Linked DNA regions of Oryzias latipes. The protein of the gene in region 1 purifies or fractionates together with the protein of each later gene. This does not show direct contact. Links are inferred from orthologs where the notes say so. Each region holds a gene or a part of one and is shown on either strand. Other genes may lie near its edges. The genes, in order: psmc3ip and mnd1.

Region 1 (4,538 bases):
TTCATGGTGTGCCTCTGTCCTTGACTTGTTGGCATGACCTTTTGATAATGGATTTCTTTAATCAACTTCATTTCAGTGATTTTAAATGCTGATCAGAGCAGTAGATTTAATAAAAAAAACTGTTCATTCAAGATTGAATTTAAACTTTTCTGAGTTTTATTTTACTACTGACTGATAAACAAACCCGCAGAATCTTGTTGGAGCCAATTGATGGTACATACGTGTGTTGCAAGTTTGACCGTAATCCCTAAGAAAAGAGGCGCTTCTTTTTTATTTTAGGATTTTTTTCTTCTTCATTATTTTGCACTAATTCTCAGCTTTGTGTGTATTCTTTTTGGAGAAAAAAGATCTAAAAAAAAAATCCTTCAATATTTTTTCTGTCATGTTTTTAGGCGGCCCGAGCTTTTTTTTTAAAAGATGGAATAGAAATGTTCAGCTTCTGATATAAAAACTGTTTACAACTAGAATAAATAAAATATAGGTCTCCTTTTTTATTTTGAAATTTAAAGTGACTTTTGTTCTGGTGGTCTATACATGGTTGAACCATGTCAGAATGTCAGTGTAGAACTTGAAAGAGGGAAAAATATTGAAACAATTTCAAGTATTATTAAGGCAATCAAGATTTTTCAAGTGGAAGACATGTTGCTCTCTGTTGTTTTTAAAATACTTGCTTAAAATATGGTGTAATGTTTGCTGGATCCATCTTTGGTTGAAGGACATAAGTTGTGCACTGGCTGAAATTTGCAGACATTTTAAGAATAATTAGTTTCGATTGGTTTATTTTGGTATAAATATTTTTCCTCTCAAGCTGATCTGTAAAGTCATTTCCTTGGTGGTAAGTCATACATTTTATGTGAACAGTATTGTATTTTCTTCTCAAATGTATCTGGTTTTGATATGTTTCGGAGTGAAAATTGTATTGAATAAAAATGTTTGCAGTTATTTCTGACTTTTGCTGTATATAAAAATACTTTGTAGCTGAATTATTGAAATTCTGTCAACTAACCATTTTTATGGGTTTATGAGTGAACTGGAAAGGAGAAAAAGAAACCATAAAATAATGATTTTAATCTAGGAACCTTTTTAAAACTACACTCTTCCTGTAGATTTTCTTTATTTAAAATCACGTTTCGTTGATATCCGTCCCAACGTCAACTTAAAAAAAATTTGACAGTGGTAGGCGCCACCCACTTAAAACCTAAACAAGGGTAGATCGGAAACAAGCTGACACCTGCAATGACAGAGGTCTCACTTCGCCTGAATTTGAAAGCGCATAAAATCAAAAGATAGTCCGCAAAAATTGTAAGTGTATTATTTTGAGACTCAAACACTGTACAAGATGATACCTTTGTGTTATCAAATAAGTTTCCCCACAAAATTATAGCTATAATTTCATTTACATTAAAGTAGTTTTTTGCTTAAGCTAAGCATCTTTATATATAGTCGATCATCTCCATGACGCAAAATTCGCGCGAAACTTGATCGAGGAAGCTAAAGAGAAGCCAGCGTCGTTAAAGATGAGCAAAAAGGATAACGGTAGGGCGAAAGTAATTAAAACGCTTTGGATGTTTTCGATTTGGTTAGGTTGGTGGATTACTGAACTAACTAGTTTAGTCGAAGCTCAGGAAATAGGTTAGAAAGCCTAGCTAACTTAGCCGACGCGTTAGCTAAACTTTCGCTAGTACTGTATATGATTCGTTTTTTGGCACAAACCACTGTTTTAGTTTTTTTTTTCCTTTTTCTTTTGCCTTTTCGTGGTGGAAGAATACATCCAGCTCCTTCAGGAGATACCTGCTTATAATTGTTACATTATATGGAATAACTGTGGAAAAAAAGTTTCGTATAAAGAAGTGTTTCTTGAGAGATACGATTTATTTCAGCAAGACATAGCATTAAGTTAACCTAAGAATAGCTTCCCTGAGTATTATAGGTATAGCAAGTATAATAATAGACCACGTAGCTGTAGCGTACTAGGAAGTATACAAACTGAATACATCTGTATTGAAACATTTTAGGTTTAAAGTATATAGGAAACATTTTAAAAAGTAAACTTCAAGTATACTACCCTTAAATTTACTATTTTTTGCCATCACCTTTACCAAGAATTAAAAGTAAGTTCATTTATGTTTTATTTTTTCCATCATCTGAAGTTTTATATTATATTTAGTAATTTGCCAAATTTTATCATTTTCTCGTGTGTTCAAAAAATGTGAAATACTTAATTAAATCTTTATTTAATCTACTATTTCAACATAAAACATTTGGTCTGCTATTCTAGCCACCTGACCCATCTGTGTTCATCCCCTTAGCAAAATGTAATCTATTTAAGTGTACTACAAGTTACTTGTCCTAAAAAGGAGGCAGTTGAAGTTTACTTTTTATTTACTATCTATATATTTTTTCAATTTAAAATGTTCCAATTTAATCTGAAGAAGTATTTAAGTTATTGTACTCTCTAAATTACATGTACATAGCCTACTTGCTAGACTTAAACTGAATTTCCTTTTAGTTCTTACATATCTTCAGTTCCCAGCATTCATAAATGCAACTTTGCTTGAAATGCTGATTTCCTGTATTCTGTAAGGTCTGTTTTTTGATGATGGGTCTTAAGTAAAGTTTGTAGGATGGGAAAGCCTCCGTGATGTTGTGGTTTCTTTTTTTGTCCTGTCCAGGTGCGACACTCATCCTTGCCTACCTGAATGAGAAGAACCGGCCCTACAGCGCGCAGGATGTCTTCTGTAACTTGCAGAAGCAGCATGGTTTGGGGAAAACGGTGAGGAGGTGCTCCCATACATTTAGCTCCTGCTGTGTGTTTGCTTTTTGCCTAATGATGGACTGCATCTATTCGCTGTCAGGCTGTGGTCAAGGCCATGGAGCTCCTGGCTCTGGAGGGGAAGATCAAGGAGAAAACCTACGGGAAGCAAAAGATCTACTTCGCAGATCAGGTTGGTTTTCTCTTCAGGGAATGCTTTGAGTTTTGTAAAAAGTTTGCAGAGTGCAACCATCTCTGCCCATCTTTCCCACAGTCTCAGTTCAAAGACGTGAACGATGCAGACCTGAAGGCAATGGATCATGAGATCTCGGCTCTCTGTGCAGAGGTTCAGTCCGTCACACAAAGCTGCAGGGAGTTAGACGCAGGTGTTGATTCAGGACCCTGGGTGTATTTCTTTGAAGTTTTCTCACTTTACATTTACTTGTGATGTGTTTTAACAGAGCTGAAGGAGCTGAACAGTTCCCTCACAACAGAAGAAATGGTCGCCGAGATCCAGCAGCTGAAAACCGAATGCTCTGGGTACAGAGAGCGTTTGGAGAAGATCAAGTCGGCATCAAATCACGTCACACCCGAGGAGAAGGAGAAGGTACAAACCAAAGAAACTCCACGTCAACCCAAGACCCTCATGCATGTTTCCTCTACAGTCAAAGTCGTTTGCTTACAGGTTTACAAGGAGAGGGATGTTTACGTTAAAGAGTGGAGGAAGAGGAAGAGACTGGTAGGACATTGTTAATAAAAAAAGCATCGTCTTAAAGACATTTTTTATTAGGATAATGCAGCACAGAAAGGTTTTCCTTGGTTTCCATCAGGCTTCAGACATGATGGATGCAATCCTGGAGGGATATCCAAAGAGCAAAAAGGAATTCCTGGTAGGTAAACCGTCCAAAGATCTACTTTTTCAAGCCCTGAGGGCTCTAACTCTGTTTTTTTACAGGATGAAGTTGGAGTGGAGACTGATGAAGACTGTAAGGTGGTTTTTCCAAATACCTGAGCAAAAGGATGGATTGTGAAGCTACTAAACTAGGAAAACAAATCTGATGTTTAATTTATAAATGTGGTTTTTGAATAAATAGTACATGTTTACTCAACATTAGAATAAAAACAAGCCAATGTTATGGCATTTTTTAGTTGAAAATGAAAATAAAAACAACTATTTGTAGCACTTATGTGTCACTTTTCAGTTACGTTTTCGTGTTTCCATTTGAAAATGTGGCAAATTAAAAAAGGTTTGAATGTCCAGAAAGTTTAAGTCATTTGGTTCTAAAAGGGAGAACATGGTATTCTTCGCTTTTAGGTATAGACCAAACTGGGAAAAATGAACCCTCAGCTGAGCCGACGTCATGCTTAGGACGACGTTTTAATGCCTGAACCCGAGATTTAAGTTTTCAAAAGCTTTGTTACAAACTGCTGCTATAGCATTTTATGCCTTTTTCTCTCCATTTCATCCATTTGGAAGTGTCAATTTACTGGCCATAGAAAGCACAATTCAACAAGACAAACGGATATTTTAATAAAATGCAGACATATTCAAATATCCCACCAACACAAATGTAATCAGACTTTTTGTAAAGTTGCTTTATTGCTTTGTGATTATACAATATAACTGAAGTGGCCACAGATTTTAACTTAAAAATATCTGAAACAAAATTGATTAAAATTTCTTATTTTTTGTGGGGGGGAAAAAAAACACTTAAAACCGGGAACTTACGAAATGATTTTAATGAAACGTCTGCAAACGGAATAATGAAAAGAAGGCAATTATAAC
Region 2 (4,572 bases), on another chromosome or scaffold:
CAGACTAAATACAGCTCAGATGGCAGGAGCAAGTCCTGGTTGCCATGGCAATCCTCTAAGAACGTCACCAGTGTTTCAAGAATGCATGAGGGTGCAGAGCTTTTTGGTACCAACTCCACTGTCTTAAAAGAGCTAAAAAAATAATAATAATTAAATGTGAGAATATTTCTCACCTACAACATTTCAAATGTTGTAAATCTTTATTATTCCACTTACAGGGACACAACCCATTGTCGATCCTGACACTCGACGGGAGCAAAGTAATTTGAAAACGCCTTCTTGGATGAAAAAGTGAACAACGATGATAAAAATCTGTTTAATTATGTAAAGGTAAATCGGAAGTTGTTTTTTTTTCTTTTTTCTGGAGGAATCCACTGGCTCTTAAAGTGGCAGATCCCTTCCTCGTATGATTCATTCTCTTATTTCATTTCTTCTTCATGTTTTCCTTGTTTTACAAACAAGAACCAGTCTGGAATAAATCTTCATCACTGTTGGAAATGACATATAGAAGCCCCATAAGGAGGGAAAAGTCCATCTGGGGAAACACGTTCACTGCCTGTGATCAGTCAGATCAGGTTACTTCAATCAAGCCAAGTATTACAGATTAATCGGATCTATTTATCTCATTATCAGCTGTTGGGTTTAATAATAAGCAGCAAGTCCACAAGCACAGAAATACAGACTTTATATTACAGAGGATTTCCCACATCCTCTTTTGTCTACTTTGCTTTTTGTATGTTTTTTTTTTGTGTTATGTGTGTTGTTTTTTGTGTCATGTTAGGTACCAAGTGAGCCGCCAGGGGGCGACACAGATCAAGTCAACTAGAGAACAGCATTTATAAAAAGTAAAAAAATAAAAACATTATAGAGGTTTAAACTTATTAAAAGGCAGAGTAAGAAAATGCTTAATGTCTATTTATTGTGGATTGACGACTGTTTCAGCTGTTGATCACTCACCTATGCCTTTACTCTTGGGTGCAATCTTTTCTATGTCTTTAAGTTGAAAAACATCTTTCTGGAATGAGAAGAAGAAAACAGCTTCACAAATGCATTACCTCTTTTTTGTCTTCATAAATGAGTCACAAACAAATCGAGCTTTTAAATGTAATTTATTTAGCTATTCTAGGGGTCTGAATCACATGTGGCTCCATGGCCACAAGACATATTAAATAACATTTTTTTCAAAAAATAAAAGTGTCTTGACGTGATTTAATTTTTGTTATATTCACGATTTAAAGGCTGAGATGCTCACATAACAGTAAGATAAACTTCTGCAAACTCTGCCTATTATTAGAATGAGATTAAGGCACCTATTATCTTATGCTGCACAGCAACGTTTAGCTGTTGTGCAAATCAGAAGTGCTAATAATATACATTTATGTATCAATGTATTAACTTCTCTGTTAGATTAGAAATCTTTCACCTCCTGTTTAATATTCAGGTAACAGTAGCGGTGGTGAGAACAACATAAGATGAGGGATGTGTAGAACAGGGCAACTTATTTAAAAAGAAGTCATGCCTGCCTCTTTTAAAAATAAAAGCCAATATTAGATTTGGAAACAAATGTTATTTTTGAATTATATTCTTATGTTTTATAGTTGAAAAACTATAAATCAATAGTAACAATACTAAACACCACGCAGAGTTGTATCTTATATTAAAAGCCTTTGCTGCTTTTAATCCCGTAGAGTCTTACTTTGTCAAAAAAATATATATATATTTTTTTAAATGCACTCAAAATATTTTTTTCCAACATCTGATATTGTTTTTATGCACAAAAAAATAAAATTAAATGTTTTTCATGAAAAGATGCTTCCAAGTGGCAAAAACAATGAAAATGTTTTAAACAATCATTTAAATTAAATCCACACAATCAATACAGCATCAACAATGTGACACAGAAATGTGACCAAGATGACATGAACTCACCGATTCAAAGAAAATTTCCATCATTCTTGTTCTCTTCTCCTCCAAACTGAGGCCTTTCTTTTTAGACTGTAACAAAAAAAATTATTTTAATCCTAACAGACCATGCCTGTTCTTCATCAACTTTTAACAGAGCAACATGTAAAATATTCTTACCTTTAAAGATTATTTCTTTTAAATTGTATTTAGGTTTGGATGTATCACATATACTGCAAACTAATGATATATGTAGGCAATTTTCCCCATCCACTGTTAATTGAGAATATTTGAATTTAGGTGAAAAGGGAAAAGAAACACTAATATAACACACACATTAGAGAACACTGAATCTGTAGTTTTCCTCCCATCCAACAGATGGCAGTATTGCATTCTAGGGGTGGTTTAAGTCGTGTTAACGGATGTAGTTAATACACTTGTATTATATTAGACCCCAAATAAAGCACTTTTAGAATTTAGACTTTCATAAAAACTACTCTTTTGGGAGGTTTTCTATATGTATTTAACTGTGAATCTTCAAATCAACGTCATATTCTTTACGAAGAAAAAAACCCCCGTCAACCCTGATACTTTGAAAAATAGATCTCACTAACAAAATCCTGAAGTTCACTGTAGTTTCCAAACTACATTAACATTAACCGTAACCATTTACATTAACCGTTGAAGTTTGTCTATTTTGACATCTTATTGTAGCGCTTTAATTTAAGTGAGCTAGATTGCAGACCATGATAGTATGTATAGTTGTTCGCTCGGCGCTTCCTTCACCGCACATCAAAAACCCACACTGGCATATTCAAATCCCCGTCTTACCATTTTGTGATGTGAAGAATTCCAGCCGTCCACAACATTAAAATCTGAAAGTGTTAAATTGAAGGTTCTACTTTGTTTCCGATCAAAGAGCAGAAAAAGAATCCTGAAATTCCCGCGGAAGGATGACACGTAATGATGCTGAGTTTAAGATCCCCCGTAAAAACGCATTCTGGGCCAAACACAACGCATTTTAACGTTTTAATTGCAGCAATAATTGGCATTTATCCAGAATAAACCAACAACTGAGAACATTGATCAACTGTGTAACATGAATCCCTCTTCCAAAAGATTTATTTTTTAAAAATACGTATTTCAAAGACAAATATGCAAAACTATTAACAAGAGTTACAGCTGATATCTAACATCAAACTGATTAACCCTTGTGCTATCTTAGGTGACCCCACCCTCACATTGACGTGTTCTCCTTACCATGAAAAAGGTGGAAAGATTTCATGTAATCCACCAGTGAAGATCACAAATCATTGAAAAAAAAAAGGTTCAGCGCACTGTCTCTAATGGGTCTAGATGACCCAACTCCCAATGTTAAAATGTCTAGGATAGCACAAGGGTTACGATGAACAATTTTGTTAACGAGATTCCACACGCCGAAAGAGGTTTGATATAACTTTTGTATTTATTATTCCTACCGCCATTGAAAGCAGCATCCCTGGTTTACGAAACACCTTGGAGATTGTCGCCCTCTGCTGTTCAGAAAGGTGTATTGACCTCTTCAGATTCGTTCCATGAACCGGTATACATTTTTACATTTGGGAAAAAAGAAACACTCACTTTTATGCTCGCAAGTTTGTGCAGGCCAAAGTACATTTTCATAGGAAACACATCTACAGAAAGTAGCCATAGCTGTTTTCTTTGGGCACTTTAATTTCACTTGGCGTTAAAATAAAAATAAATACATAAAATAAAACTTTTACAGGATTGTGTAGAAAATGAGGGACCAAAGTCAAAATTACAAATAGTGACAATTATGTGCTTAAAAGAAAATTATCCAAGTTTTCTAAAGCAGGAACCCAGATGCATTATTACAATTTTACTTGATGAACTTCATACTCCATCTTCTCCCTTTTCCTTTCGTGAAAACAGTTGCCAAAATATACACTTCCTAAGATCATGACGAACATACTGAAAACACAGATGTACAATGAAAAGAAGTAAAGGTGATTGAAGCTCTACCTCTAGTGTCGTTGCATACATTTTGTTGGGACCAAATCTCAGCATTTTTGCCAACATTTGCCCTTAGACTTAAAAAGGAAAACAAAGTGGATCATGAATAAAAATAAAAAATAAAAACATACAAATGGAAACAAATATTTTACATACAAACATTAACATAAACAGTTTTGTGGCGTAACTAAGGAGCTGTGTGTTGTATCTGACCCAAGAGCAGAAGAGGGTGGAATTGATTTCCCACACTATTGCCGTCTTAAGCATCATTCTTAGAATAATACCTCTAATGAACATTTTTGCAGTAATGGTAATGTCATACAAATTGTGCAAGATAATTTACGTCATGCTCAGAGATAGTCTTTTCATGCTCTAAAGCATGAAGGTGGCGCAATGTTTTCTGCTTTTGTGAACAGGCAAATTATCAGAACTTCCAATATTTCAACAAGATTCAACAGTTTTAATTACCGTGATTTACAATTTCTAGGGTGATAAGGTTCTCTTTAATCTCATTCCTCCTTAAAAAGCTGTTTCTTTCTATTTCCCAGTTTTCTGCATGGTGATAAAGTTGCTTTTTTTTAATCAGCATACGATAATTAGGATGTGAACAAATTTACATTAGTGCATCAATGATCAGCAAGCTGTGGGTGTCTGAGA

The links.
Region 2: the proteins of psmc3ip (region 1) and mnd1 purify together in Homo sapiens (co-immunoprecipitation; 6 studies listed by BioGRID and IntAct, counting the BioPlex papers as one, with this or other methods). This does not show direct contact. The link is inferred for Oryzias latipes from reciprocal best matches to the Homo sapiens genes PSMC3IP and MND1.

Annotation. Positions count from the first base shown.
Region 1 is NC_019866.2:6,749,837-6,754,374, forward strand, and holds psmc3ip (homologous-pairing protein 2 homolog), read left to right. Parts: upstream 1-1,430; 5' UTR 1,431-1,517; coding exon 1,518-1,536; intron 1,537-2,672; coding exon 2,673-2,773; intron 2,774-2,855; coding exon 2,856-2,945; intron 2,946-3,026; coding exon 3,027-3,138; intron 3,139-3,213; coding exon 3,214-3,359; intron 3,360-3,437; coding exon 3,438-3,491; intron 3,492-3,582; coding exon 3,583-3,642; intron 3,643-3,707; coding exon 3,708-3,764; 3' UTR 3,765-3,935; downstream 3,936-4,538. UniProt on the Homo sapiens protein: Plays an important role in meiotic recombination. Stimulates DMC1-mediated strand exchange required for pairing homologous chromosomes during meiosis.
Region 2 is NC_019859.2:20,986,827-20,991,398, reverse strand, and holds the start of mnd1 (meiotic nuclear division protein 1 homolog), read right to left. Parts: upstream 2,984-4,572; 5' UTR 2,737-2,983; coding exon 2,734-2,736; intron 1,996-2,733; coding exon 1,930-1,995; intron 1,016-1,929; coding exon 958-1,015; intron 1-957. UniProt on the Homo sapiens protein: Required for proper homologous chromosome pairing and efficient cross-over and intragenic recombination during meiosis.